4 linked regions of the Caenorhabditis elegans genome follow. The protein of the gene in region 1 purifies or fractionates together with the protein of each later gene. This does not show direct contact. Each region holds a gene or a part of one and is shown in the gene's direction. Other genes may lie near its edges.

Evidence for each region.
Region 2: the proteins of pas-6 (region 1) and rpn-2 fractionate together in Caenorhabditis elegans (co-fractionation; one large-scale study listed by BioGRID). This does not show direct contact.
Region 3: the proteins of pas-6 (region 1) and rpn-7 fractionate together in Caenorhabditis elegans (co-fractionation; one large-scale study listed by BioGRID). This does not show direct contact.
Region 4: the proteins of pas-6 (region 1) and rpn-5 fractionate together in Caenorhabditis elegans (co-fractionation; one large-scale study listed by BioGRID). This does not show direct contact.

What each region holds. Positions count from the first base shown.
Region 1 is NC_003283.11:5,581,603-5,588,351, reverse strand, and holds pas-6 (Proteasome subunit alpha type-1), read left to right. Parts: upstream 1-4,008; 5' UTR 4,009-4,017; coding exon 4,018-4,167; intron 4,168-4,213; coding exon 4,214-4,406; intron 4,407-4,455; coding exon 4,456-4,526; intron 4,527-4,575; coding exon 4,576-4,705; intron 4,706-4,755; coding exon 4,756-4,994; 3' UTR 4,995-5,191; downstream 5,192-6,749. Other genes in the region: CD4.11 (MAM domain-containing protein), read right to left, coding at 1,856-1,961, 2,378-2,460, 2,508-2,799, 3,125-3,170. UniProt on the Caenorhabditis elegans protein: The proteasome is a multicatalytic proteinase complex which is characterized by its ability to cleave peptides with Arg, Phe, Tyr, Leu, and Glu adjacent to the leaving group at neutral or slightly basic pH.
Region 2 is NC_003281.10:6,196,103-6,205,323, forward strand, and holds rpn-2 (26S proteasome non-ATPase regulatory subunit 1), read left to right. Parts: upstream 1-3,077; 5' UTR 3,078-3,083; coding exon 3,084-3,138; intron 3,139-3,188; coding exon 3,189-3,716; intron 3,717-3,762; coding exon 3,763-3,893; intron 3,894-3,943; coding exon 3,944-5,164; intron 5,165-5,216; coding exon 5,217-5,366; intron 5,367-5,413; coding exon 5,414-5,940; coding exon of another isoform or gene 5,941-5,944; exon of another isoform or gene 5,945-6,038; coding exon 6,039-6,324; 3' UTR 6,325-6,492; downstream 6,493-9,221. Other genes in the region: C23G10.7 (putative tRNA (uracil-O(2)-)-methyltransferase), read right to left, coding at 80-250, 334-493, 548-753, 803-998, 1,050-1,243, 1,328-1,423, 1,474-1,636, 1,680-1,896 and 2 more; sna-3 (NADAR domain-containing protein), read right to left, coding at 6,658-6,852, 6,926-7,276, 7,380-7,651, 7,701-7,944, 7,996-8,332, 8,387-8,553, 8,659-9,221. UniProt on the Caenorhabditis elegans protein: Acts as a regulatory subunit of the 26 proteasome which is involved in the ATP-dependent degradation of ubiquitinated proteins.
Region 3 is NC_003282.8:9,313,440-9,320,968, forward strand, and holds rpn-7 (26S proteasome non-ATPase regulatory subunit 6), read left to right. Parts: upstream 1-3,199; 5' UTR 3,200-3,203; coding exon 3,204-3,266; intron 3,267-3,311; coding exon 3,312-4,154; intron 4,155-4,204; coding exon 4,205-4,531; 3' UTR 4,532-4,791; coding exon of another isoform or gene 4,792-4,920; 3' UTR 4,921-4,965; coding exon of another isoform or gene 4,966-5,091; 3' UTR 5,092-5,137; downstream 5,138-7,529. Other genes in the region: F49C12.9 (UBA domain-containing protein), read right to left, coding at 1,531-1,770, 1,878-2,315, 2,363-2,463, 2,530-2,668; nemt-1 (Methyltransferase type 11 domain-containing protein), read right to left, coding at 4,792-4,920, 4,966-5,091, 5,138-5,256, 5,300-5,418, 5,464-5,593, 5,643-5,847; F49C12.11 (Translation machinery-associated protein 7 homolog), read left to right, coding at 5,953-6,024, 6,352-6,439, 6,493-6,527; F49C12.12 (Ribonuclease kappa), read right to left, coding at 6,952-7,072, 7,423-7,529. UniProt on the Caenorhabditis elegans protein: Acts as a regulatory subunit of the 26S proteasome which is involved in the ATP-dependent degradation of ubiquitinated proteins.
Region 4 is NC_003280.10:4,692,514-4,700,052, reverse strand, and holds rpn-5 (PCI domain-containing protein), read left to right. Parts: upstream 1-1,758; 5' UTR 1,759-1,760; coding exon 1,761-1,850; intron 1,851-1,907; coding exon 1,908-2,093; intron 2,094-2,144; coding exon 2,145-2,852; intron 2,853-2,899; coding exon 2,900-3,076; intron 3,077-3,143; coding exon 3,144-3,455; 3' UTR 3,456-3,632; downstream 3,633-7,539. Other genes in the region: scc-1 (Sister chromatid cohesion protein 1), read right to left, coding at 1-836, 885-1,034, 1,081-1,332; F10G7.5 (MFS domain-containing protein), read right to left, coding at 3,772-3,981, 4,316-4,432, 4,479-4,586, 4,796-4,985, 5,038-5,363, 5,470-5,596, 5,667-5,757, 5,807-5,899 and 1 more.

The sequences.
Region 1 (6,749 bases):
TTCAAAACGTTCATCTGGTAAGTATTTTATGGAGAACAAAACTTGTACAAATTGATGTAATAACTCTCTCCACTAGTAAAGTTATAGAGCTGCAAACGTGTTACCATACTTTTGGCCCACCCTGTAATAGAGGAAATACGGTATAAAACTTATAACACTTTGTGAAAAATTCAAAACATCGGTCAAATTTGTGATGATGTGTAGAGGACGGTGAATGTGATCAGCGACGACAAGCACCACAGGATAATAACCCATCAACACCGGACCGATGATAAGATATTGAGAATTTATGGTCTTTATGTATAAATAAGTAATGAAGCGGCCGACACAATCTGAGAAACTACGAGATAGTTCAAACGGATCTGTCTGATCACGGATCATTGGATCAAGATGATTATTGCATCTTGCGGGTGTTACTTTTCGTAATCAACCGAAATGTTTCGTTTTAGTTTCGACACTAATCGTGACTTTGGGAAACCGCCAAACTAGGTGAACAATCTTCACACGTGGTGTCAGGCTGTCCCATATCAGCTTGGTCTACAAAAAAATGCGGGAATTTTTTCCCAGAAAAATGTGACGTCAGCACGCTCTTAACCATGCAAAATTGGTTAGGATGTATGTGTCAACTTTTCGAAGATCAAACCGACATGGGACATTCTGACACCACATATCTTCATTTTATTCATTATCAACCTTTTTGAGCAATTTGGAATGTGAAACCTTATAAAATTCCAAATTCAAAACCTCAGGTTTAATCTTGTCTTGTGAAATGCACAAATAATTCCTTCCTTGCAATCAGAGAAACCTATGTACTATAGTGGTAAATTTCATAGATCATGAGAAAGTTATAGTTTACAAATTATTCTAGTCCTTCTGAGAAACCAAATGAAATCAGTTCATCTTTCCGGTTAGAATATCGTTGAAAAAGAACAAAACAACGGTCAAGTTGGTGTCGATGGGAAGGGGTTGTATTCTGTTAGGAACACGGGTTTGGCATCACAAGGACACCGGGCTCTCCTGCAAGCAGAAGAATTAATCTGGTAACCCATCAACTCCGGACCGATGTGAGAGAATGAAGAATTGGCGTTGCTTATATACCCGCTCACGGCCGAGTGGCAGACATGTTCATGTGAAATGCAGAGAGACAGCTAGCGATTGCAATTGTGACAAATTTCGTAACAAGAAAAAATATCTTACTTTCACCCGAACATGTTTGCCGCTCGGCCGTGAACGGGTATATAAACAACTGCGATTCTCCATTCTCTCACATCGGTCCGGAGTTGATGGGTTACCCAGTCATTCTTCTGCTTGCAGGAGAGCCCGGTGTCCTTGTGATGCCAAACCCGTGTTCCTAACAGAATACAAACCCTTCCCATCGACACCAACTTGACCGTTGTTTTTGGTTTTTTGAAACGAGAATTCAATAAGGATTTAAAATTGGTTTCTGTTAGTTTTTTTTTGGAAAATCTAGTTAAAAGTTAACCCTTTCATGATATGAACACTTTATCACTGTTTTTCTGTTTTTCAGAATGAATCTTGCAAGGGTCAAAAGCTAAATTGGATATGCAATCTCGGTTAAAAAACCATAAAGTTTCCGATTTATCGGTTTCAAAAAATAATTTTTATTGAAAAAAGTATGGTATCCGTGATGAAACTTACCAAATGTAGATACATAAATTTCAAAGTTTTGTTTTCTAATGAGAATATAATAGGGATTAAAAATCGAAAAACTAGAATCCTATTTCTTATTTGCTTTTTCAGATGAATTAGTTAAAAGTTAACTTTATCAAGATTAAATTAAATTAAATTAAAAGATCCGAGATTTTACAACGTAGCTGTGAACTCGAAGACCTACTCGAATTTCACTTCAGCATCTCCATATTGACATGGAATTTCCATTTCAATTGCAGCAGTCTGTGGAAGAATCATTGGTTCGCCGCCAGCCAGTAGAAAATTGTTGTCTGAATTGTTATGATTAGTTGAAATCAACTGGTACTTTTACCCAATTAAAAAGTTAATAATAAATTTTTTTTTTAATGTTTAAATGATTTTTTGAAAATAGGAAAATGAGCCAATTAAAAATACTCCTATTCAAACATTGTAGGGGTTCGGACATGCGACAGCGATATAGTTTTCTCAAAAAGTGGCAAAATCTAAGTGATTGCCACTTTTTGCATGTCAATGAAAAAATCTAAAAAATTTTTTGGAACGTTTTACTATGATATTTGGCCATTTTGGCATCATATGAGCGTTAGGATTTTTTTTAAATACAGAATTTTCAAACTAACATCAACCAAAACTTTTGCTGAAATTTTCAAATTTTTCAATCTTTTTGGAATGTTTCAATTGATTTTTAGAAACAATTTGTTCCTCTTACCTGGTGTGAAACTCAATGGACTTCCAGAGTCAAATCTTTGCGAGTCAAAATTATTATCTGAGTTTAACTTTGATTTCCAGAATCTAAAAATAGTAATTTTTGAAATTCTATTAAAATTGAAAAAAAAAACTTCATGTCAGTGTCCGCTGCATTATGCCATCCACAATATTCCATATCATCGTCAAAATGACATGTAAGCTTTCCACCGTCGGATACAGTTAGCATTGGTTTCACAGGAAATGGGGTAAGAGATGAGATCGAACGAATTTCAGTTGCGGAGTACGGTAGATTTGATGTGAGGTAGTCAAAGTCAATTGCATTTTCACTTGTACGTTGTAGGGATGAGACTCCGCGAGCTCTGGCTCTTCGAGATGAAAATTGACTGTACTGAGAGCTCAGGGAGTGACAAGCAAAACTGGTATCTGAATTAATTTGAAGGTCATATCTAGCTAAACTTTTGATTTGAATTACCGCGCTTTTGTCTCTAAACCACACCTATTTTTCTGTGCCGCACTTTGCATTTTTACATTTTAGACGCAAAATGGTTCTAATCCGTGTTCCAATTTTCAATATAGAAAAAGCCCTACAAAATGAGCGATTTTTCTAAAATCCCAAAAATTAAATTTTAAATTTTGAATAACCTCAAGAGCGACCATTAACAAATTTTCATGATTTTTTAAATAAAAAAGGACAGAAAAAATTTGGTAGAAAAAAAGATTTCAAATCCAAAACTTTTTAAAAACTCACTCAAACCATAAAGTAGCAATATCAAGACATATATATTAAGTACCATACTTCATGAAGAAAATAGTTTGAAAACATATAAATTTCGATTTCAAATCGCCTTTCTCAAAGTTCAATGAGCGTGTGGTATTGCGTACTCCCGAGAATGAATATGAACTACTGGTAAATTGCCTAATTAGGTACGGTGTTTCACTGTCGAGAGTCACAAGAGAAAGTGGGTCAGTGGGTAAGAAAAGTGAATGAGAGGAAAGATATTTATTATTCAATAGACATGATTGAAAAATGAAACTAGAGATTTTCAAAGACAGAGCTTTGTAGTATAGCCTTGCCAGATTTAAACAGGAATTTCTAAGATATTGAAGTCAGGGAATCGGCCACCACCATCAGTAGACAACATTTTAAATTTTAAATATTCAATTCCTCAAAAATTAGATTCAAAATTTAATTCGACGTTTTCAATCACGTTTTCGCAATTTTCGTTCAATTTCGTGTAATATTTACTTGTTCACAGTTCTCTTCGTGGATTTTGAGTGTCTTTTTTTCGAAATTATTTTGAGGATCTTACGCAGTTTTCACCAGAAGAATTACATAATTCCATGGAATTCCATGCCTGGAAATTTCTTTCACTTTTTGCCGCCAGGTATACGGTAAGCAATTGCGCGTAAAGTGTGGTGTATGCGTACTCGCTTATTTTGTCATCCTTTCAAATTTAGAACTCATTTCAGAGGTTTTCTTTCGACTTCTAAATATTTTTTCTTTGTTTCTGTGGATTTAAATAAACTCCATATGTTTTTCTAACTCTTGGTTCATCTTGAATCACACTCTCTGCTTATAAAACTGCAAAAAATGGCTAAAAACTTCAATAAATTGTAATTAAGAGCTTTTAGGTTTGAACCATGTTCCGCAACCAATACGACGGCGATGTAACAGTCTGGAGCCCACAGGGACGTCTTCACCAAGTCGAATATGCCGTTGAGGCGATGAAGCAAGGTTCGGCAACTGTTGGAATCAAGAGTGAAACCCACGCTGTCATCGTCGCCCTGAAGGTTGGCGAAACAACATGTTAATTTCAATTAATTATATTCGTTTCAGAGAGCGCAAAACGATTTGTCGTCTCATCAGAAGAAAGTGTACGAAATTGACACTCACGCTGGAGTTTCCATCGCTGGTCTCCTCTCCGATGGTCGCATCTTGGCTCGCTACCTCCAAACCGAGTGCTCGAGTTGGCGTTGGGATTACAAGCAAGCGGTTCCAATCAAGAAGCTCGCTGAATCTATGCAATTGAGTAAGCGAATTTTGGAAGCAATTTTCTCAAGACATTGTTCTTATTTCAGAACTTCAAGCCAATACACAATATTATGGCCGTCGTCCATTCGGAGTTGGAATTCTGATTGCCGGATATGACGTAAGAACATCATAAATATAATTGTTCTTTTAAATATTTTTTTGTTCAGAAAGATGGAGCACACATCATTCAAACTGACCCATCTGCTGAAGTCGTCAGCATGCATGGAACTTCAATCGGAGCAAGATCTCAGTCTGCGCGCACTTACCTCGAGAGAAATGTTGATAACTTCGAGAAATGTATTTATTTCGGAATATAATTGATAAAATTGAGCAATTTCTTTTTTCAGCAACTCCGGAACAATTGATTGTCCATGCTCTCCTTGCTCTTCGCGACACACTTCCAGCCGAAGAAAACCTCAACGCTCAGAATACGTCTATTGGAATTGTCGGGAAAGATTCTCCATTCAGTCTTCTCGAAGATGCTCAAGTCGCCGTTCATCTCAACCAAGTTTCCACACATCCACGCACAACTGGCGGAGCAGCAGCAGCAGCAGCTCCAGGTGGCGCCGAACCAATGCAAATGTAGATTCTAATTTGAATCACAGACCATGTGAATTACTTTCGTCTCCATTTCTTTTTTATGTGACCCGTATAATTTATCGCCGGTTAATCTCCCTCTCGTTCCCGAATTAAATTATTTTCCTGCTCCAAAAGATTGATTACATATTAATTTCCTTTTTCCGTTCAACAGTCATGTATATGTTGCAGAAAGAACATTAAAGGAAGCACTTCTCGTCATTCGCGTCCATGCCTTCTGTCCATTAATGATGGATGTCTGCGCCGTAGTACACCACGCACCCGCCGTCTTCCGCTATTCCCCGGCGAGCTGCTCCACGGCATTATTCCATAGTTCTTCTCTTCAGTGTTCCATACACTACTACATCACTCAAATTGTAAATCAGCGAAGAAAGGGGAGCAAAAGAAGAAGAAGGGGAGGAGTGTGTGTGATGCAAGAGAGAAGAGTTTCAAATTTCGTCGAATTGAGATTGAAATCTTCTTTGTCGCAGTCAACTCTTTTCTTCGACCCACTTCTGCCTTTTTTTGTTTTTCGATTGGAGCTCTTGACAATTTTTATACATTTTTCTTCATTTAAAAATCCACAAATAGGTAAAAAAGGGAAGTAGGATTTACGGATCTACTGGAAGTTGTTTTTCTAACAAGCGGTTTTGCTTATTATGATCACGAGCAAAACCAAAAATGTTTCCCAAGCGAACCACAATCAATGCCCGACACCATTGTGTGTGCCGCTTCTGAATGAACTGAATAGAATTCTCTCGTTTCTTCCACCAATTCTTCTTTCATTCCTTGTGCCATTTGTCTGACAAGCGAAGAGAGAAAAGAAGAGCGCCCTTAAATGAATTTGTATCGAGCCAATGGCATCGGAGGGCCATGCGGCTCTGTGTGGCGTGCGTTTCCTCACTTCAAGCACTGCCGCCACCAGCACCAGCACACAATGTTCTTTTCGGCAGGAGGCGAGGTCTATTCAGCACTTTTTCTTCACTTTTAGACCAAGTTTTCGAACACTTTTGCACCGAGTGCACACATTGATTCGTGGAAATGATTTTTTTATCCTTGAAATTGTTTTTCTGAAGAAAATATATCCTGTAAATTTAAAAGTTCAAGTGTTTATTTAAAAATAGTCAATTTAATTTTGGAAAATAAATTTTTTTTAACTGCAAATAAGCTTGTTCGGTCGACTTATAGGCTGATTTACTCATAAAAATTTCAATTCAATGGAAAATATTATTCATTTTTACTTAGACGTCTAAAAAAATACATTTTATTTTTCTTTTATTATATTTAAATTTATTCAAAACATGGTGCAATAGAAGCACGAGCTACAGTAAGTTGCACAGTATGCCGGAAATTGTTTTCTTTAGACGTCTATTATTTTTTCGTGAACAGTCAAACCCCGCTTTAAAGGCACACGATCTTTTTCTGAGTGGGTCTCGACACGATCTCAGCTATAGTGATCACAACAAGTTCCAAATTTCACAAAATTGCTGGTCTTACTTTACGAGCATACTTCACGGGCAAATTTGAGCCAAATAGAAAATTTCTGATTCCCAAAAACAATTTAATATGCCCTTATTATGTAGATGTTTATAAATGGGCATTTCTGTCGAGGGTTTCGCCACGAGAACAGCGAGTATAACTGTATTATGCAATAGTGGCTCATAAATCGACACGAGCTACAGTAACTCCTTGCCCGCGTGGTGAGACCTTGCGCGTAAGATATGGCGAAAATTATCATTTACAGACGTCTACGTAATACATGCTG
Region 2 (9,221 bases), on another chromosome or scaffold:
AATGGAAGCAAATAAATAATAACTAAACTCATGGTAACACAACAAACAAAAAATCAACGATAATAAAATAAAGGAAATGTTAATGTTCATAACGACAAGCTTCTTGTCCAACTGGACAACCATCTGGATGATGAAGTGACATCCAGCATGGTGCTTTTCTGATCGTTTCCGCCTTTTTTGGCTTCCAGGATTGACGTTTTTGAACAACTGGCTGACGGAAATCACGAAGACGAGCAGTGGCTTGGTATACCTGAAAAACAAGAAATAAACATAAATGTTCTGTACACCAAATATGCTTAAGAGTAAAATAAAAATGTCAAAACATCGACTAATCTTCTTATCTATTGCCGTAGTGCTCACGTGAAAGATTTGATGTTGATTTCGAAGAAAAGTTTGAAGTCCTCCGTCCTGATCTTTCATTAGTTTTTTGTCTTCTTCTGTGAGAAGCGCAGCAAGCTGGGCCAAAGGAACTTCACCTCCACAACGCCATCCACTGAAAAAATGAAACAATATTTTCATTTCTAGAGGCGGTTGAATTGAAACTAACTCTCTGACTGCATCAGAATAATTCAAAACAAAATCAAATAATTTCTTGGCGATTCTTTCACGATCAGTCACAGGAATGTTCATACAATTCGTTGTTTTGATTTCCTTTGGTCTTGCAATAAACTTTTGTCCTTCAGTCATTGAATTGATGGTTTCGTCCACATTTGGGCATAGTCCTCCTTCTGGAACACGTCCGATAATGCAAAGCTGAAAATATTGAAATTGTTCAGGAGGAAATAGGAAAAATAAAACATACTCTTTTCGTGCTCGGAATCGCCAATCTGTCAATTTTAACATCAAATCCAAGTCGTTCAGCAACTGAAACGGTCCACTCGAAGAATGACTCATACTGTGAAACTATTCTTTTTGGTCCTAAGTGGCTTCCGTTGTTGGCATACTTTCCGAAAAAGTTGAATGGGCAACATGGAATCAAGAAGAAATTGCAGTTGAGTCTGAAAAATAATTTTTTGTAAAGGATTTTGAAAATTTTATGATCTTCTCACTTAGCAGCCATAACTGGAATCCATGGAGTTAACTCGTCACTGTGATTTCCAATGAGCAAATCCACATCTAAATCGAAGTGCGGTTCATTTTGAACGACAATTTGAGGATCGACAGGCATTTCGCGTAGGTCCACATCTTTCAGAGTGGTCTTCCAAATGTTTCGATGACGAACGTCAATTCCGTATCCAGACATCTAAACATTTATTTTTTTAAATCTAAAGTTAAATCAAATGAATTTTATAATTAAATCAATTTTCGATTAAAAAAAAAATCTTACTCCGATTTTGTTCAAAAGATGAACAAGAAGACCATTTCCGCATCCAATATCCACGAATTTATTCGGCTTTGGTAGGAGATCAGAATTGACAAGCTCCTAAAAATATTTTGAAAGATGGGAATTTTATTGAAATAGATAAATTTTACATTTATATATGAAGCAATCCCACAATCCTCGAAAATTGATTTTTGTGGATTAGAGTTTTCTGTCCATCCTTTGATCATTCCTCTGCCATAATCCTCTCGAATATGACGATATGTCTTGATGTAGGACTCTTTGTCGAGTAGAGAATTTGTCTTTCGAGATGATCTGCAATAAACGTTTAGACTTTGTTAAATCATAGCGTTCTCACTTTGAAAGATCAATTCCTTTCAACCAAGTGTACAATTGTTTGAATGCTTGTTTCTTCATAAATTCAAAATGTTCTTGAGAGGAATTAGCTTGCTTCAAAAACTGAAGTTGAATGGATGTATCTGTTGGGATTTTAATGGCAATTGAATACGGGCTCTCGAAATGTGGGTGTTGCATTCCATCGAGAGTAATTGGGTAGAATCGTACAAGGAGTTCTTCTGAAAACAAAAACATCATTTCAAAAGAAGACTAACTTCGAAACAAACCTTCATAGTAAGAAACTTCAAACGCATTATCTGAGAATTTATTATTAGCGAGATCCTTGTGTATGATTTTCGTAATAGCTATTTCGCTGCAATCTCTCGGGCAAAATTTGTAATGTGTTTCAAATGTTCTTAAAACTTCATTCCATAAATCTGAATCTGTATCCACTGAAACTGAAGTTGTAATTCTGTTACTGATAGCGTTTGGATATTCCTTCCAAAGACTGATAATCTGAATTTTTCTTTCAATTACAATATTCCAAATTACAATAACTACCTTATCAAAAAACGCTTTTGGATCAATAACCTCTTCGTATTCGGCGATTTGTTCTACAATAACTGTCCATGTTGAACCAGGAAACATAAAACGCCTAAAAACGTAAAATTTTAATTGAATATATTGGTAAACTAGTTTTTCAAAGGAAAAAGAAAATTATTCAATAAACTTTTATTGATTAGTTCGGCCGAAAATATCCAACACGCAGAAAGGTAAGCTTTTCGAAGATATAGAAAGTTCTAGAAAATTCGGAAATGTTCCTCTGAAAACTACAAAAACTAAGTCAGACTGAAACCAATGTCATAACTATGTGCAATGAGCCTTTAATACAGTAACCACCGCATAGCTTTGAGACGATCAGTGAAAAATTAAGCATTAGAGCGGTCAAACTAGACACCAATACACTTTTATCTGATTTTAAAAATTAAAATATGCTATTTTTATCGGAATTGCTGGGAAAAATATTGTCTAAAAATAAGAAAACAACTTTGAAGAAAATGCGCCAACACCCATGTGCTGGCGCAATTATCGATTAGTTGACGCACATCGCGGAGGATGACAATTCTGACCACAGCGGGAAACCGCGAAATTGTCAGCTTTTATCTGAAAATGTATGTGTTTTTGGACGAAATTTGTCATTCGCAATCATTCTTTTCGTTCGGTTCATCCATTGTTGGTGTTTGAGTAATTTTATGATTTTCTAAAACGCCTGATTTATTTTTAGACGTTTTCTAATTTGTCTTTTAAGACGAGAAAGCTGTTTTTCTGATAACCTAGAAAAACATTTTATAATAAACTATGCTTCGCAACTATCTTCTCCTAGCTGCTCTCATTTCGGATTGTTTTTAATTTTGATTTCTTTCAGATGTTGACATTGTTGAACAGATGGAGATCTCAGCCAGGAGGCGCTTCAAACGCAGGTATCAAAACTAATATCTATCAAGAAACGTTGTGAATTGTTCATTTTCAGCCGCATTCATTCGTGTTCTCGAGTCACCGAAATCAGCAGTGACCGACAAAGTGCTCGTTCTCAAAGCATTTAACGATTGGGATGTTCTTGTGAACACATGGTTTGAGGTCGCTGACGCCCTTCCAGCTGTAGAGCAGCTCCTTGACAACAACACGTTCCCAGAGCATTCATCCGCTGCACTGCTCGTCTCCAAAGTTTATTTCTGCTTGGAGCAGTATGAACGTGCTTTGGAGTTTGCTCTTCGTGGTGATTTCAACGTCGTTCCTGCTACAAGAACCGGTCTTGGAAACGACGCAGAATATGTTAACAAGATCATCGAGACGGCCATTGACACGTACAAGACGCTGAGCAAGCAAGGATCTGGAATTCCTCAGAAACTCCGAGATTTGATCGACCGAATTGTTGCTAGAAATCTGGATAAACGAGAGATATGGTTTGTCATCTCGTTAGGATTTGAGACGACCAATCTGGCTATGATCGACAGGGCCATTAGCGCGATGCCTGCAGATTTGACCATCAAGAATCAGAGTAAGTCAATAATAACTAAGCTGAAACGTCATTCTTTTTTGTGCAGCTACACTTGTCGAAACGCTCAACCGTGTTGTCAATGGCGCGTTCGATCGTTCATTCCGATTCCAAGTTATCGATACAGTCATCAAGACGTACTTGAAGTGCCCATCGCCGGACATGTCCAAGATTTGCGAGGTATGATTTATACAAATATCGAAGTAAAATTACAAAATAAACATTTTCAGTGTTACGTGCTCACGGATAACGCCGAGGCCGCTGCTGACACGATTACGAGTTTGATCGCGAAGTCTCTCAGCACTCGTGCATATCAGATCGCATTTGATTTATATGAAACAGCGAGTCAAGGATTCCTCGATCGAGTTTTGAAACGTTTCCAACAGCAGGATGCTCGTGATGAGAAGTCGATGGAAAAGATTCATTCAATTCTCAAAGGTCATGAAACTGTCAAGGCTTACCTCGACTTCTTTGTCCGTCATAATCACACTGATTCTGTTCTAATGGAAGAGATCAAGGAGAACATTCGAACAGCCTCTGCCCACAATGCTCTTCTCATCTCAAATGGTCTTATGCAATATGGAACTACTTGTGACGATTTCCTCCGTAACAACTTGAACTGGGTTTCCAAAGCTACGAACTGGAACAAGTTCAATGCGGTCGCTTCACTTGGACTCATTCATCACGGACAAGAATCGTCTGCAATGAAGGTACTTGAGCCATATTTGCCAAAGGAATCTGTCGAAGGATTTGGATTTAAAGAGGGAGGAGCAATGCTGGCATATGGATTGATTCACGCCAAACACGGAGATGCAACTGCCATGAGCACTCTGGCTCAGTGGCTCAAAACCGCCGAAAACGAGCCAGTGAGACACGGAGCTTGTCTTGGATTTGGAGTTGCTGGACTTGGATCGTCTTCTGTTTCGAATTACGAGAAAGTTCGGGAAGTTCTCCAACGTGATGAAGCAGTTTCCGGAGAATCCGCAGGAATCGCCATGGGCCTTATCATGGCTGGACATCTGAATCAAGAGGTGTTCAATGAGCTCAAGCAATACACTGTTGACACACAGCATGACAAAACTCAACGTGGTATCCGAACTGGACTTGCCTGTGCCGCATTCGGACTCCAAGGAGATGCTGAGCCTTACATCAAAGAAGCAATCGGAGCTAAGAGCAATCCAATGCTCCGTTCCACTGGAATCTGTATGCTGTCGATGGCTTACGCCGGAACCGGATCTCCAGATGTAGTACGCCGTCTTCTCGAGAAAGTAGCCACCGATCCAAATTTGGATGTCAAGAGATACGCTACAATTGGTATCGGATTCGTTCTCTCCAAGGATCCATCAACCTGCTTATCCTACGTGGCCATGCTCACCGAACATTTCAATGGACATGTCAGATACGGAGCAGCTATGGCACTGGGAATTGCTTGTGCTGGAACAGGAAACATGGTAAGATACTTTTTTCTGAAACCGGGGTTTGATATAATGAATTGTTTTTCAGGAAGCTATTGCTCTGATTGAGCCAATGATTTCTGATAAGGAAGGTTTCGTTCGTAAAGGAGCACTTCTTTCACTTGCTCTCATCATGTGCCAGCAGACAGACTACACTTGTCCCAAGGTGAACGGTTTCCGTAAGCAATTGCTCAAAAAGGTAACTCTATAAGAAAACAATCAAGTTTTTCAATAAATGTTTGTCAGATCGGAGAGAAGAACGAGGACTCTCTTGTCAAATTTGGAGCAATTATTGCTCAAGGACTTCTCGACATCGGAGGGCAGAACGCTGCGGTCACAATGCAAAATTCTGACAAGCAGCCAGATATGGGATCAATGGTCGGAATGATGTGCTTCCTTCACGGATGGTTCTGGCACTCGATGCATTTCTTCATCGCCCTTGCTGCTAAGCCATCATGCCTTGTGATGATGAACGAGAATCTGAAGATTCCAGTACTTGACTACATCTGCCATGCCAATAGTCAGAAGTTTGCCTATCCACCACGAGCCGAATCAAAGAAGGATAAGGATGTCAAAAAGATTGAGACTGTTGTTCTGTCCATCACCGGAAAGAAGAATGCGTCAAAGAAGCTGATCGCTGAGGAGAAAAAAAGACGAGAAGCTGCAGCTTCCGCTTCTAGTGCTGCTGCTGCCCCATCATCATCGTCCACTTCAGGAACAGCACCAGCTGCTGAAGATGAGAAAATGGAGGTTGATCAACCAGGAAAATCCAAGTAAGTTTGGAATGAGTGTCTAGGAAAAGTAGAATTCGTTTTTTTTGTCATAAAAATTAAAAAACCAAGATTTCCAAATTAACTTACAATTATTTCAGGAAAGAAAAGGCTCCAGAAAAGGACACGAAGCCATTGCACCGCCTACAGAATCCAGCTCGTGTGATTCCTGCTCAACGACAGCTAATCTCGATCAGTGACGCTCGAGCCTACAGTCCCATGAAGCCACTTTACAAGGGTGGAATTATTGTGGCGGATCGTGTTGATAAGGAGAGAGAGGAGAAGCTTGTCAGTGAAGTCGTCACTCAGGTCAATACTCCTGCGAGCTCTGGAAATACCGAAAACAAACCCCATTCGACGTTCGAGATCAATATCAACGATTTTTGATCAATTGCTGGATCATTCGATCAACTCTATCTCGCTCCCCCAATCCCATTCAAAACTTTTTTAATTTATTTTCCCCCTTCTACTCTATTTATGTTTGACTTCGAATCAACATGAACCCGCTGATTTTTGTATTTGTGTGTATACCTGAAAATGAAGAACATTTCACTTACATGAATTGAAGTCAAGCGATAATGACAAAAAATTTATTTTTGTTAAACAAGAGATCCTTTCTGGCCTCAAAATCTTGCTGTGTTATTCAAATGAAACAGCAACAAAAATGAATGAATAAATTCTGAAAATTTTAATAACGAAAACGTGAAGTAAAAAATTAATTTAATTATCCTCCTCGTCAGTTGATAGAATCTCGCCGTCTGATAACTCCTCTTCGGGATCTCGCTTTGGCTTCGGAGGAACAACGACCGCTGGTGTTGACGTGGATATGGCTGGCTTTTTAGCAGGCGATGGAGCTGCTTTCCGCGATGGAGGAGACTGGTTTACACGTTTTTTGGTGGGAGTGTCGAGGTGTTTCTGTAAATTTTGATTTTGAAAACATGTAATCGGGAAATTTTAAGCTAAAACAATATAAATAATAAAAACCAACATCTCTTCCTCTATCAGAAGACGACTTCTCTGGCAAACGATCCCTATCTTTTCCAAATTTCCTTCTAGATGTCGTTGGTATTTTATACTCCATACGTTCTTTTCTTGATGCGGACCCTTGTGGTCCAGAAGAACTCGTTGATAATTGAGATTGAAGTCGTTCTCTATCTTTTTCTCGTTCTTCTTCTCTATCTCTTTCCCGTCCTGCAGCCATTCGATAATTGGAATGTCCTGGCCTTGAAGGAATTGGGGGAGCGGATATCGATGGTCCTGTCGACGATGATGGTCCCTCTGTTTCAGCTCTTTCAGCGGTGTCTGCCAAACTTCGACGGATTGATTGAAGACGATGAGTCTGAAAATTTTAATTAATTTCTGACTATACCGCATCTGTGACGCGTAATGAATTGAAAAATAAGATGCGAAAAATGTGATTTTAATATTTAATTTTAAATTACCTCCATAGCCACCATGGATAACTCCATCGATTGTCGATCAAGTGTTTCAATCTTTCCTCGCAATCTTGCACAAAGCTTCATAAAAACTGCTCTCAAATCCTCTGGAGCAATGCTATTCAGCGCTTCCTCTTGTGTCTCGTCGTTTACTAAATTCTCCACAATATCAGTAACTTTTTCATCGTCTATAGTGACCATGCGTGGTGCTGTCTTGATTCGCGTACATTGAGCCATTGCTTCTTGATTTCCATCTTTAGCGAGCAGGAAAAGTGGATCTGAAATTTGAATTCATAAGTTCATTTTTCTTTTAAAACAATGACTCACTAATCCACAAGGCTGTATAATTCCAGGGTTGAAGAATATCAAAATATTCAGATGTCATGAAATTTTCCGTTGGTGAGTTTGAGCCCAAAATAGAATCAGCAGTGAGTTGAAGTTCAGGCAATTGTTGAGGAAAAACGCCTTGAAGTACAAATTCTCTACGCAGTTCCATGAGAATCATTCCGAGACGATTTCCACCAATATAAGGAGGTCTGAAGGCCATTGGTCGAGTACACAATTCGATAAGCTGAAGAATTTTAAATTATTTCTGCTAAAATGCCTAAATGATTAAACTAACTTGTTTTGTTGTGAGATCAACTTCTTGTAGCCAATATCTGAAATCCATTTCTCGCATTCCCATACTTAATTCTGCATCCATCGATGAGAACCGTGAACAATAAACGAGCATTGAATCTCCCGTGTCTAAAAGAGCTCGTAAAAGTGCAGGATGTTGCTCTAAAAGCAGCTGTAGTGATTCTTTAATAAATTGCATTCGTTTATCCATCCACCAAGTTTGTTCCAATTCGAGGCCACGTCCACGAGATTCGATGACTTCATGAAGACGTGACCAACATTGAATTGAAGATGGTCCTTCAAGGATGTATTCGGTATCTTCTTGGTTCATACTCAGAAATCTGAATTTAAAGTTTTAGATTTCTCAATTATAAAAAAAAATCTTAAAAACTAACTTTGCAGCTTGAGTAGCAACATAGTGAACTGGAGAAGGCAAAGGTGGACCATCAGCGGAACATCTGATTTCCGCAGGATAAAGTGGATGGAAAACCGACTCTGGAGTGAAACAGATCACGTTGGGTGTGACTATTCCGCTTAATGGGTTGAGATTCATTTTGGAAAGCTGAAATTGAAAAAATTATTACAAACAAAAAAACGTCGAGTTTCAATGAAATCAAATATGTTTTACGGTTTGAAATAATTTTTACAAATTTAGTCTAGAACTAACCTTAACTAAAGGTATTCTACTTGTTGTTTGTAGTGAAAGCTTTTCTCTGAGCTCCATGAGTAATAATCCTGACTTGTTTCCGTACAAATGACGGACGCTTTTTGGTGTATTAGTCTCCTCTCCATCCAACATCCATCCCACTAATTTTTCCGGCGTCACGTACGATTTTGTGAGAAGGTGCTGCAGCTCAACTTCAGTTGCTCCACATGTCCATAGAGGGTCACCAAGAGAAGAATCAATGAGAATAGCTGATCCAGTTGAAAGTAGAAGTTGTTGGAGATACTCATTGTGGTAAATCTTATGCTTCATTGCAGATTGACGCCAACGATCCATCTTTGAAGTTTTTTCAGCTATCGTTTCAGGATTTATTTCCAACTTTCTCAGTAGTTTAGATGCAACGACAGGGACGTTCAGAGGAGCAGGTGTTGTTTGAATTTTCTCAATTGCTTTCTCGTCAAGTTTCAGCGAATTAAAAAGCTTCTCATATGCGTAATGCTCTACAGATCGATATCTTTCTCGTTTCATTTCAAACGGAAACGCGTAATAGTTTGAAAGTGGTCGGA
Region 3 (7,529 bases), on another chromosome or scaffold:
ATAATTTAATCTCAAAAGTAAATAAAAACGGTAAATCTTGGATAATTTAAAATAACCTGCTCTCCAAAAACTTTAATAATCATGCTTGATCTTTTTGATTTGTGTACGTGAAAACTTCAAACAATTAGAAGAAAACAAAATTCTAATTGCAGGGTTTTTGGATTCTCAGATTGTTTTCTGGTTGCAATTGGTATTTAACTCGTTGACTCGTTGAACTGAATAACTGACTTAACTGAATAAGTTGACTCGTTGAACTGAATAACCAAGAACATAACCATGGTTTTATGATTTCAAAGATTTCTAGATTTTTTATATAAGTTTAAAAAATGATCTATTTGGTTATGTACATAGATTGAAAATAAAAATTGTAAATCGAATTATTCATTGATTCGTTTAATTAAACGTATGATGTGAAGAGCCAATACTACCAAAGATTGGGCTTCTAGATTCTTCGTGATGGGTTACGATCCTCTTCTGCAAATTCATAAATGGAAAATGTTCAAATTGAATCCTGAAACATGTTAAACATACATGTGAATATTCGGAGAATTGTCCAATGTCGGCTTTACAGTTTGATAATTGGAAGAAATTGTCTTATTACCACTTTAATCAATAAAAGAGCAAACTTTTTGTTATAACACAAAAATTAGCAAATTAGCAAAAATTGGGCCAAAAGAACGAATTTTACGAATGCTAGCCAAAAATTGGCCGAGTTGTAATCATAACTAACCAATTCTGACTTTATATACCAAGTCTGTAAGAGTTTTCCTAATTTGTAGAATGTGTTTATAATGCGAAATTTGAATCGCATAGGGAACAGATGAATGGGTGCAAAACTGATAGAGGAAATACGGTAAATTTTTACCGAACGGACCAGGAAATGTTTTTTTATTTTCAAAAAAAACAATAGGTATGGAACAAATTTGTTGATTCTGCGAAAAAATATTAATTGCGCCTACAGTACCACTACAGTAACCCAGCAGTATCACTCCGCCAACTCCAACTCAGTATCCCGTCAGAAGAAAGCAACACAGATTTGCTAGAACTACTCGAGCATAAACTGAAACTGTGGCCTATCTAATTTTATTTAATTGATAAGTACAATTGTTAATTTCTAGAATGTATGATACTATAAAAAATGCATTTTCAACTCGTTGTAATAATCACTATAAGAAGTAGTAAAAAATATGTCCGTAGTAAAAGAGTATTTGCCGATGTACTGGACTATTTTGTATTTTTTTTTGAATCAGAAGCGAAGTGAATATTGCCATTCCCAACCCCAGGGAAATAAGTTGTTATCCGATGTTATAGTGACCCAGAGACACTAAATAAGCAGAGAAGAGTTTGTAGAAGAGTGATTTAGACGAATAAACGGTGATTTCATTTCACTGCTTTATTTTAAACAGATATGAGATTATTTTAGCCCTATTGACGAATGAATAGGGCAATTTGAATGCATTAAAAACGAATTATGAACACTTATAGACAGAAAAAGTTAATGAGAAGACAGAATAAAACCATTGGTGTAGATTAATTTTGGAGATCAATAAGAAACTCCATAGCCGCTTGCACATCTCCATTCGCCTGTTCGAGAGCCAACTGAATGAGCTCATCATTTTCAAATCCAAACTCGCGGAGAGTCGCAGCTTGTTGTTCATATCCTTGCTGCATTGGCTCTTCTTGCTGCTGTTGCGCTGGCTGGACATTGGCGGGAGCTGGAACCCGATTTGCCGGAGGAACTGCAATGTTTGCCAGGGCTGCTTGGAGAGCCTGAAAAAATTGGCATGGAGAATTTAGTAGAAATATGTATTCAACTATTATTATATTTCAATTATTCTTTTCGAATTATGAGAATCAGTGTGTCCAAGAAATCTTACATTTTGAAGCAACGCATGAGTAACCGGTTGAGCACCTCCAATTGGTCGCTGAGCTGCAAGCATTCCTGGTCTATTTCTTTCCACGTTTGCATAATCAAGGTTTTCGTATCCGTAACGAGATCCTACTGTCGATAGAATATTTTCTACTACTTTCAAGAAATCGGGATTCGTGTACATGAATTGTCCCCGAATTGGATCATCTTTGAAATCGTTCTGAACGCAATAGGCACGGAATAATGACCAATCACTCAGAACAGATAAAAATTGATTATCATGAACCAGCTGTGGGTGTTTCTCAAGAAGCGTTGTCATGTGATCTGGAAGTGCAAAGTCGTGGTTGAAACCATGAAGCCGACGATCATTTGGGCGTGTATATGGGGCGGTACACTCCTTGAGAGCAATACTGATTCGATTTTTTTGCTCTTCTTCGATGTGGTTCTGAAAATCTTAAAATTAATTTGGGTTTCAAACGGAAAAAAACTGACATTTGTTTTAAGCGGTGGAAGCAGCACGACTCTGATTGAATCAGCATCAGTAATCTTTTTTAGGCTCTCTTCATTCAATGCTCTTCCGTTATAAATCAAACCTGAAAAGTGATTGATTCGATAATTGAAGAAATAAATATGATCGATAATTGAAGAAATAAACTTACGGAAACGTTCAACGTTTTTTTGGTCTTTGAATTCGGAAGTACTTTCTGATAAATGCTTGAAGAATTGGATCTGTCCAGTAGAAATTATCTCTTCGATCGGGACTTCACGGCAGGTGGTTTTTAAATGCAATTTAACCATGTTTCTCAATACAACGGGATGGCGGTTGAAAACTGAATGCGAAACAAATGCTCCGTTTCCTGCGTTCAAACGCTAATAACGAGAGCGCTCGATAATGAAAGGATGAATAAAACCGTGCGGCGGAATTGCGAAAGCATGCGCCGCGTATTGCAAACCCTTGTCATCATCCCCGCCCACTTTTATTCGTCCCATTTTGAATTTTTCCCCCAGTTTTCTTGAATTTTGATACGGTTTTGTCTGTTTATGCACTATGAAATAGATATTTTAACGTAGTTTTCACTGTGCCGCTCACTGTAATGTAAAATAAGGCACTATTACGAATTTAAAATAGATATCAACGCTTATTTTCAAAAACTAACAAACTAGACACTAAAATTAATACCAAATCTATATTTCGATAATTACAGCAAATTTAATGAAAACTAACTAAAATGCTATTTCACGTTTGAAATACCATTGAACAGTTTTATTTCCGTTTTGGCCGCTTTTTAACGTTTGCTACAATTTCAAGTGTTCATATTTCATTTTAAGGAGGATGACAGAGGCTGCCAAAAAGAGCACGAAGAAACCCGTAGATGATGGAAACTTCGATAAGGAGGTACGGATCAGTAGTTTTGAAATCATTCAAGTTCAGAGTTTTCAGATCATTTCAAGATGGCCTGATCTTGAGTTATCACAAACCAGATTCATGCTCAATCATCCCGAAGTAGACAGCAGCGTGAAAGAAGCCAAGCTCGAGAAGCTTCAGGAAACTATCAAAGAATTCGACATGGCGCCATTCTACGAGCTTGTCTGCGCTGACTTCAAAATTGTCGTAGATGCAACACAATTGGCTGCAATGAAAGCAGCTAATCAGAAAAAGATCGATGAAATCACCGCAGAAGTTGAAGACGCGGAGAAGAACCTTGGCGAATCTGAAGTGCGTCAGGGATTACTCCGCAAGTTCGAGTACTACTGTCAGATCGGTGACAAAGACAACGCTCTGAAAGCGTACACAGCCACCTATGAGAAGACAGTCGGTATGGGATATCGTATTGATGTAGTTTTCGCCATGATTCGTGTTGGACTTTTCTTCCTCGATCATCATCTCATCAACAAGTTTATCACCAAAGCAAAAGAACTTATGGAGCAAGGAGGAGACTGGGAACGCAAAAATCGCCTTCGATCCTACGAAGCGCTTTACCGAATGTCTGTTCGTGATTTTGCTGGAGCCGCTGATTTGTTCCTTGAAGCTGTGCCAACATTCGGATCATACGAGCTCATGACATATGAAAACTTGATTCTCTACACTGTCATCACCACAACCTTTGCTTTGGACAGACCAGACCTTCGTACCAAGGTTATTCGTTGCAATGAAGTTCAAGAACAGCTGACCGGAGGGGGACTCAATGGAACATTGATTCCAGTTCGTGAGTATCTCGAATCATACTATGATTGTCACTACGATCGTTTCTTCATTCAGTTGGCCGCTCTTGAAAGCGAGAGAGTAAGTTACTAAAACAAATCTTGTATTTTTCACTTATCGTTATATTTCAGTTCAAGTTTGATCGCTATCTATCGCCACACTTCAACTATTACTCTCGTGGAATGCGCCATCGCGCTTACGAACAATTTTTGACTCCTTACAAGACTGTACGTATCGATATGATGGCCAAGGATTTTGGTGTTTCCCGTGCTTTCATCGACCGCGAATTGCACCGTCTGATTGCGACTGGGCAATTGCAATGTCGTATTGATGCTGTTAACGGAGTGATTGAAGTGAATCATCGTGACTCGAAGAATCATCTGTACAAGGCAGTTATCAAGGATGGAGATATATTGCTCAACCGCATTCAGAAGCTTGCCAGAGTTATCAATGCATAACCGAGCCCAGTTCTTCAAACGTGTAAATCCTTTTATTTTACCCTATTCTTCTTCTCCCGTATTATTTCTTTGCGTTAACTCGCTTTGAATCTCCCCACTTCTTCATCATTTCCGGTTGAATGAATTAATTTATTACCATCGCTGTATTTTTAAAACTGTATTCACACTTTCTTGGTCAAATACCAATTGTTTTATTATCTTTAAAATGTTTTTACATGTTATTTAATACCACTTCTTCACTTCTTCACTTCTTCATTTCTTTATTTCTTTATCCACATCGCTGCGATGTAGATCCGCTGTTTATTTTTCAATCGTTCATAAGTTGATGTTCCAGGAGCACAGTACGTTGCTCGCAGCGAGTTTTTGAAGAATTTAACGAAGAAAGGAGCCTAAAATATTTATATACAAATTTTTTAACTTTTGGCCTAGTTTACTTTCTCTAGTAGCCTATCATATTTTCTCGCTGAATATTTTAAGCCCTCAACTACTTCATCAGTGCAAAACTCGAAATGTTTCTTTACAAAACCGGCTGCTGTGGCTGTCTCCTGAATCTGTTTTGCCTGTAATCACTAGCTGTATTTATATAAATTTTACAAGTAGACTAACCTCATGGGGATATCGAATGTCCATGTAGCAGAAGGCACCACCCGATCGCAAAACTCGTGAGCCCTCTTTGAAAAATAGTTTGTAGTCCGAGTAAAGATGAGCTGCTTCCACATTCAAAACTTAATTTCAAGATGTTTTTGGTATTTTTTGATATGATCCTACCAAAATCAAACGAATTATCTGCAAACGGTAAATCTAGTGCATCTCCGTAGACTATGTTATTCATATTTCTAGTGACAACTTTATCACAGCCAATGATGCATTTTGTTGGTCCATGCCACCTGTGTTCCATATTTCTCGTTTTAAAAAAAATGCAAGACACTTACTTTTCTATCCAATCGAGAGAGTACCCTTGACCACAGCTCACTTCAAGAATTTCAAATTGTTCAAAATAAGGATAATTTGGATGCATTGATAATGCTTTTTCATAGAGATAAATATGAGCTCGATCCGACTCTGAACATTTAAATTAACAAGGAAACCTCGATTAGTGTTTTCATTTTACCGTATTCATCTAGGTCACCTAGATCTTCCATGAACATTCTCATTTTTGCGTACTGAGGTGCTGATGATGGCCAGTAGCCCAAATTCATGAAACGAACACCTAACTTTGGTGCTACTATTCTCATTAATGGATACATTATGAATCTATCAAAAAACCAAAGCCATAACTGTAGTAATAGAGAGGAAATGTGAAGTAGGAGATTCATAGTGAATATGTGTTTACGAGTAAATGTATTCTTGTACAATTATTGTTCGAAATATAATCTTTGTGAAATTAGCTCTATAAAACTCAATTTCAGCCAATCATCATCATGTCCGGACGTCAAGGAGGAAAGGCAAAGCCACTGAAGGCCGCAAAAAAAACGGAGAAGGATCTTTCTGAGGTGAAAATGATGATGATACTAGATATTTTATACTTATCATGGGCGTAATATTGCAAAAAAAAACTAATTGATTAATGAGAGAAGAAATCCAATAGATCAGTTTTTCGTTCAATATTGTCACACTTTTGAGCGTAGGTTGATGAAAACGATAATCTCATATAATTTTTTGAACACTTATCAAGAAATCATGATACTTGGAGGCGCCATGGTTCCGTACACCGAATAGGATTTTAAATTTTGAATGAGTTGTTAATATAAATAGTCATTTGAAACGGTCATAGTGAGAATTTTTGATCCGAAAAATGTATAATAATTTCATGGTTACAGGAAGACGTCGAGTTCAAGAAGAAGCAACAAGAGGAAGCCAAAAAGATCAAGGAGATGGCAGCCAAGGCTGGACAACGTGGACCACTTCGTAAGTTATTTGTTAACAGTAAAATAACATTAAACTATCAACCTGTTTTGCAGTCGGTGGAGGAATCAAGAAATCAGGAAAGAAGTAATTGCCTCGGTCAAATATTATGCCATCTCATCCGCAACCTCTGTTATTAATTCGTCAAATGACTCGTTATTTCATCCATTTCCGTTCCATATTTTACATATTCTTCGTTCCGTTCTGCTCATTCCCTTTTTGATAATTTCAACATCACTATATTTCTACGAATGAATTGTTATCTGAGAATATCAATCATAGAAGGCGAAAATATTCATCACTAAAATTGATTTGGAAGACTTTAGAAACATATACAGGAAAATGAACTGATGGAATGTCGGATGGGACTCTTATGCTACAGAATACAATTATATGGGTGGAAATGAGCACGTCTCTAAAAGCAGAGACGATTTTAAGGGGGAAATTCGAAAAATTATGGATCGCGAGAGAATCAGGATACGACGATGTGAACAATTGATGCAGATATAGAAGGCTCAAAAGATTTGTGCCGTGTTGTATTTATTCTGCCAAAAGACTGCAATAAGAGTAACTGCATAGAGTCCGGCTGCAATCCAACATTGTGTTGCTTTCTCGTTATATTTTGCGTCGATTACACTGAAAAAAAGTTTAAGGAAATTTTTATTTTATATTTGAAGTAATATTGATCAGCTGTTTTTTCTTTAAAAACTATTTCGAAATTTCTTTCAGCAACACTGGAAGATATTTACTGATTTTCAATAAAATCAAGCTATTGATGATTTTTTTCAAGTATTTAGCACTTATGAGCAGACTACATGACACTCGTTTAGAACTATATAAATATTTGTTTGGTGTTTATTGAGATAAGCTTCGTAAACATTTTTATTTTGATGTCGGTAGTATTTTAAGACAAGACTTGAGATTTTCGAAAACTCATAACAGTTGTATTAAATATTTTAATGTTTTTCTACAATTCAAAATCTCACCTCGATGGAACCTTTCCGTGTCCTTCGAAATGAAGATCTGGGAAGAGAGTGACGGCTTGAATGTAGAAGAAAACACCGAGAAGGCCCAGGAAAATTACTCCCCACAC
Region 4 (7,539 bases), on another chromosome or scaffold:
TCTTGCATGGTGTAATTGAGATCGAACTCTCGGGTGACCAAACATCTCCTGTATCTTTGAAGGAGTTCTCTGTTGAACATTTTGCATCCAGGTTCACGGCTGAGGTGTTGAAGATCTCCGCTGACGCATAAATTGAACATCTTTCTGGTAGGAGGCGCCATTTCAACTACTCGCATCGTATCGGAGAAGTCTTCTTGTTGCTCTCGGAAAGCGTCGTTTGAAATCATAGTTTCAGCATCGACAATCAGCTTTCTCGCTTTTCTCTGACGTTTTTTCCGTCCTTCCATGTGCTCCACATCTAGAGGCTCCAGGGCAAATGACTCGGGACTTTGTGGTCTCGATGGCTCAACGTTTTCAGGCTCGAACGGTTGATAGTCAAAGTCCATACCATCGTCGTTTTGAACATCTGCGACAGCATGCTCTCTGACGGGATGAATCATTGAGCTGAACATATCAGCAGGCCCAACACCACCATCGTTTTCCAGTGTTTGATTCTCAACCTTCAGGTTCATTTCAGGCATGAAATTTCCGCCTTCCTGATTGTCAAAAATAAGATTTGGACGTGTTGGTCCTTCGGAGAAAATCACACTATCCGCATCTATACGGGAAATTTCCGTTCCATTTGCAGCCACATCACGATCTCGTTCGACTTCCATCAACGATTCTGGCTGAGGAGTGGGGCGCAAAGACAAAGGTTCCACCGATCCGTAGAGATGATCGAGTTGCCAAGATTCTCCTTCGTCACCGAACCCATCGAAATCTGCGTCAATGTTGAACTCGACATTGAAATTGACGGTTTCTTTCATGGTGATGTCTTCACGACGGCTCACATTAGCCTGAAACAGCGATTAAATTGAATGTGAATTGCTTTTAATACAACGCACCATAATGAGCTGCTCATTGTAGTCGGCATCGTGGAACTCGGGCACTGTGATATTGTACTTATCAATGAAGTTTGAGAAATCCTCTTCAATTTCTGCATTCTCTGGAATGTCGACTTCAAAACTGAATCCGTTGCGGAAGTTAATCTTCATCTGAAAATTTACTTTGTTTTTGTCGTTCTAAATTATCTTTAATTACCTTTTGATACGCTTCATTTGTATCAGCCAGAAGATATCGTGTCTTCTTCGAGTAGATTCTCACGATTCCAAGGAGAAGATGTCCAACTGTTCGGAGCGCCATTTTAACCTTGGGGCGAATGACTTCCTCGATCGCTTGGGGAACATCTGTTTCGAAGATTTGCGCCTTTGTCAGCTTTTTTTCCCAGTGAGCTGCCAGCCACACTTTTGCCAACGGTCCCTTTTTGGCGAGAACGAACTGTGCATAGAACATCTGAAAATAGCATGAGATAAACAATAGATTGTTAACGTCAAAGAGATCATAGATTAGAAAATTCCTGAGAAAACATGATAAAAGAGCAAAAACTGGAAGAATAAGTATGTTCAAATGATCACAATGAGAGAAGCAATAGTTTTAAAATGAGGCAAACATTGAAAATGCGGTAAATTTCTGATGATGAAGACAAAACGCTCGAAAAATCGTTTTCAAATATTTTTGTCTTCCTCCTCCTGGGTCTTACCGCGATTTGAGGTACGGTAACACTCGTTTCAGCTGTGCGGATTGTCACTCAAGAAATAATTATTTTCTACTCTCTACCTTTAAAATTTTTGTGCATTTAAAAGTAATATTTTTATAGGTTTTGAAGTTATTTTTCAATTAAAAAAGCAGAACTATATATTCTAATTATTGTTATTCCAGATATGGCCGACAGACGCGAACCGATCCCGGTTGACCCGGTCGATGTCGGAGAACTAAGCGAACTTGACAATTTGGCTCATTTGGCCGCTCATGTAAGTTTTAAAACGTTTTCGAGAATTTATCTGTAGATTTCATTAAATGATTTTCAGGGTGGAGATGGTCGTTTGTTCAAAATGGAGCAGGACTACTCGAAACAAGTCGACGAAGCACTTCTGAAAGCCCGAGATATCGCTCAAAAGGACGCTGTTGCTGCTGTAGAGAGTCTGAACAACATCGAAAAGCTCACTCGTCTTGGAGCTGACATGAAGAGCAATACACGCGTTGTTCAATATATGGTGATAATACTTTTCAAATTAAAAAAAAAATATTAATTCTGATATTTGCAGACGAAGCTTTGTTTCGAAGGGCAGAAATGGGATCTTCTTATGGAAACAATCATGACGCTTTCAAAGAAAAGACTTCTCATCAAAATGGCTATCGCAAAGATGGTCCGTGATGCTGTCGCAATGATTGACAAAATGCCAACCGAGGACCTCAAGATGAAGCTTATTGAAACTCTTCGCACTGTTACAGCTGGAAAGATCTATGTGGAAGTGGAACGTGCTCGCCTCACCTCGATGGTTGTGAAGAAGTTGGAGAGAGAGGGAAAGCTTGACGAAGCTGCAACCATGCTTCTTGAACTTCAAGTGGAAACATATGGCTCCATGGAAATGCGAGAGAAGGTGCAATACCTTCTCGAGCAAATGAGATATTCTCTCGTTCGTAATGATTTTGTGCGAGCCACTATTATCTCTAAGAAAATCAATATCAAGTTCTTCAACAAGTCAGACGAAGATGAAGTACAGAACCTGAAGCTGAAATACTACGATTCGATGATCCGTATCGGACTTCACGATGGAAACTATCTGGACGTGTGCCGTCATCATCGTGAAATTTATGAGACGAAAAAGATTAAAGCTGATTCAGCCAAGGCGACCTCACATCTTCGTTCTGCCATTGTCTACTGTCTTTTGGCTCCGCACACAAACGAGCAATGGGATCTCCTCAACCGAATTGCCATTCAAAGAGAATTGGAAACCGTTCCAGACTACAAGGTAAGCTGTGCGATTTGAATTTAATCTAATTATTGTTTTCTTTTCAGATCATTCTGGATCTTTTCATCAACCAAGAACTCATTTCTTTCAAAGGAACCATTGTCGCAAAGTACGAGAAGCTTTTAAGACGTGGAACAACTAGCTCACCAGACACCGGAATTTTCGACAAATCAACTGAAGGAGAGAAGCGGTGGTCTGATTTGCACCTTCGTGTTGGAGAGCACGTAAGTTAAAATTTTAATAAGTTAAAAACCTGTTAAAATTTATAAATTTTTATTTGTATTTTTACAGAACATGCGTATGATTGCCAAGTACTATACTCAAATCACTTTCGAACGTCTCGCTGAGCTCCTCGACTTCCCAGTTGATGAAATGGAATCATTTGTGTGTAACCTCATTGTTACCGGTCAGATCACCGGAGCAAAACTTCATCGCCCTTCCCGTATTGTCAATCTTCGTTTGAAAAAGGCAAATGTTGAGCAATTGGATGTATGGGCGAGCAACGTGCACAAACTGACGGATACATTGAACAAAGTTTCCCATCTCATTCTGAAAGAGCAAATGGTTCACAAGAACTTGGATCTCGCGGCCCCACGGGCATAAATTTAACCACTTTTTTGTGTATAATTCCGCCATCATGTGTATTTTTCTTATTGATGTTCGCCCTCCCCAATTTCTTCTTTTTCGTGCACCTTCTCCGGTTTTATCATTAATTTATTAATACTGTCGATCGATTTCATCCTTTCACTCTTCGGTTTGATAGTAAACGTATACGTGCTCAATGTGTATTACTAGCTTTTGAAGAAACAATTTTATGGAACAAGTTGTAAGATAGAGGTAACGGGAAACAAATGGATCATCACAGGTTTGAGTTGATTTTCTAGGAAATTGATAAGAAGCTATAACATGAGTGCACCAATTACTGATAAACTTGATATCCATTCTCATCCTCTTCCAAATGTTCTCGTTCAGCAGAAACCAACAACTGAGCTAAATCGGTTTTGTGGACGATAAAAGTGAGGAAAAGTGAGGTCAACATGAAGCATCCACAAACAATGAAAAGATATTCAAATCCGATTTCAGAAAGAGCATGTGTTGAAATGAGTCCAGCGATTAGTCCGGCGACACTCTGAAATGTATTCATGTATTCGCGAATACGGTACCCGGTCTCGAAACGAGAAATTTGTGTTAAAAACAAATAGGTAAGCGCCTTTAAAGTGTACTGTAGTTTCAAACTTTCGCTACTGCGACATTTTCATCGTTTTTCTCACATTTTTTTAAATGTATGTGTTTAAAATGTTTTATTTCATTTATAAAAATTCCGCATCGACGCAAGTTTGAAAGTACAGTACTCTTTAAAGGCGCACATCCCTTTGCATTTAACAAAATTTTGTCGTGTCAAGACCGGGTGCTTTTTCACAAAAACCGGAAAATTTCGCATCCCGGTAATAAGTTCCACTTACCACTGCACACTGCAAAAATCCATACATAACACTGAAATTCGCCTTACTAAAACACTTGTGCGTGATGTAAGGAAAGATTGAAAATGTGCCTCCGATGCAGGAAAACATCAGACAAACCTGAAAAACTGTAATTTCAATGAGAAAAAAAAAGAAAAAAACGAACGGTGGCCAAAAACAGAACATCATTGGATACCATTTTCACCAGTGGCATCGAAAATGCCAAAACTGCTCCCAGGCTGCACACAATCGACATGGAAAATTGATAGGATGTCTGAAAATTTGATTTGAAATTAATTATTGGAAAATCAAGACCGCTCCGCCTTCAAACGTTGGGTCTCGTTAGGTATTAGCGGTAAGAATTTTTAAAAAACATGTTTTCGGTATTTCTTTAGAGTTTAACTGTTTTGTCGCCAATACCCAACGAGACCCGACCCTTGGGGGCGTAGCGCGAATTTTTCTGCGACTCCATAATAAAATAACCGTATCCGCAATTGCACCCCAAAAAACTCTGCTCCCAGCGTTGAAAATCGAGGATATCGATCCGATCAAGCTCAAAAAGAAGTCAGAATCGATAAATTGTTGCCCATAAGCTTTGTAGAGACCACTTGTGAGTTGGACCCAAACGGCATTGCATGTCAACGACAGGAATAGTACTAGGAAAGTTGTGGTTCTGAAAAAAAAACCCGTTATTTGTCTGTATAATGCCTCGCGGCAGGACTTACCGTAACTGCGGCCAAACCCTCGCCTGTTCCACGCGAATTTCACTGTTCGTCCCAATCAAATTCTCCGTTTCAACGTGAATATCGCCTTCCGGTTGCCCGATAAAAATGAGCCCAATCGATTGAAAAACCGTAAAAAAGATGGACATCACGATGAAAACGTAGGGAACCCGTTCCAAAAGATCCTCTTGAGTGAAGAATCCTTGATCGTTGACACGATAATCTAATGGATTGATAAAAGTGGTTTGAAGGGGTGACAGGATGAATGCACCACATCCATATCCACCGATTATGATGCCTCCGGCTAGGCCGACATTGTCAGGGAACCACTGAAATTTTGAAGATTAGCAGAGGTTAGGGGTTTTGAAAAAAAAATTAGATTTTGGAAATCAAGACTTTATTTGAAGATTTACAACAAAAAATTTCAAAAATTACCCTCTGAGCAGTTGGCAAAATGGAACTGTAGGCAATGCTACTTCCGACGCTTGCGATGCCTCCCATCGTAAGCAGTGTTGCGGCGTAGGAGTGTTGAATTGAGTAGAATGTTGATCCAACACCAATTCTGTAACAATACAGATCATTTTTTGTTAAGCACATGGTGCATCGCGATCTGTAACTTTTTTTAAACTCACGTATAAATAATTGAACCTAAAAGTGCACCAGCTCTTCCACCAAACTTTCTCTCTACAAGACCACCAATCACCATTCCCATCGGGAGACCGCCTGAAATTTCAAAATGTCTGGTTTCTTGAAAGTATGGAAAAAAACAAACTCAAAAGTGTCTGCAACCAAATCAATTGCCCCGTCCTCATATCTGGATACATTTTCCATCGGAAATACGAGACAAGGTACGGTAGAAGGTTACCTGGAAATTTTATAAATGCTTCAAATTGTTCAGATTAATTCATAAATTTTCCAAAATTAAAAATTCTTCAAAAGAAAACCCAGTTTTTTCCAACAAATGGCAACTTTCAAGTAGTATTCGAGGTACTTTTTAATAATTTCCAATCAATAAAATATTTTTCTATATTATAAAAATAAATTTAAATTTGAAAACAAGGATTATCACACCGAAATTGGTAGTTTTGTAGATTAACCGAGACCGAGAAAGCTCGCCGCCCACCCATTAAATTTTTAAACCGCCATAATTTGTCAACTGTGAAAATAATCGAGAAGCTGTCAACTGATAAAATATTTAGAATTAATTGAAAATTGTTTTCCTAGTTGACAATTTTTCCTATTACTCACGGTTACAAAGTTTTAATAAGAAATGTTGGAAGTTTTCCCGAAATATTTGCTCTCCAATTTGTTTTGATCTCACAAAATCTTTCTAGATTCTATAACAATTTAAAACCTACCACAAGTATAAACGATTCCAAAAGTCACCATACACATCACACCACCTACAAGTACCGCCCACGGTCTAGCGCCACGTGGCAATCGCTTTAGTATCGGATCATCGGTTTCCATTGGTAGTCTGCCAAAAAACGATGAGCAGGTGAAGCATGACATTTTGAATAAATTATACAATATATACAGATATGTAATGATTGAACCCGAAAATGTTTAGGAATAATGATGCCATGCGAGATAGGGAAAATGTACCTAGAGACGCAGGTGGTGTAATAACTAGACTGTGTGGCATGGTATAGAGACGCAGACGGGAAATAAAGGAACACACAAAGGACATCAGCTGAACATGGTTTGATCTATGGATTTAGAAAACCAGGAGGTTCTAGGCTAGGAGGAAATAGAAAGTGGATTTTCACCAAATAAAATCTATTTGAAGAAAAATAATTCGATTTTTGAAATTACCAAAAAACGTTGATTCTCACTACTTTCTTATCAATTTCTTATTAATTTGTAATCAGTAGATACTGAATATGCACACATTTTTCTCGTTGTCTGCTCTCAATGCTTTATTGAATATGACAAAAAATCAGTGCTAGTTTCCATTTTGAGCTGGTCCATTGCCGTTGTTGTTCGGTCCATGGAGAGGAGGAGGTGCAACTGGCAATGGTGGAGCAGGATCATCAGGCTCATCGAACGGAGGAGTAACTGGAAGCACAAGGTGTTGCATCGGCATGCGACGATTCTGAAAGAATTTTTGTTTCACAGTTTATTCGCGATTTGTGCATTGTCTTAGAATTGTGTTTATAAGGATCCTTGGATCCTCGACTTACCTCTCTCAATCTCTCACGAATCACGGGCGGTGCAATAACGACTCCCTCAAATACCAAATCTTCATTTGGAGCCGCATTCAGACGAGTTCTCAACGCCATCACATCTTTCTTGGCTCCATTGTTATTCTTCCACTCAACCAAGCTAAACTGCCAGGATAGATTTCCAACTGAGACATCCTGGAATAAAGACTTGAAACCTAGTAAAAAGTTAGAGTACTCACGTGACGTCTTAAAAAGTTTGAACTATTTGTCGTCGGAATGTATGGTGGACGACGGACCAAATGCGATAGAATGGTCACATTAGCCAGATTTTCCTTTGGAC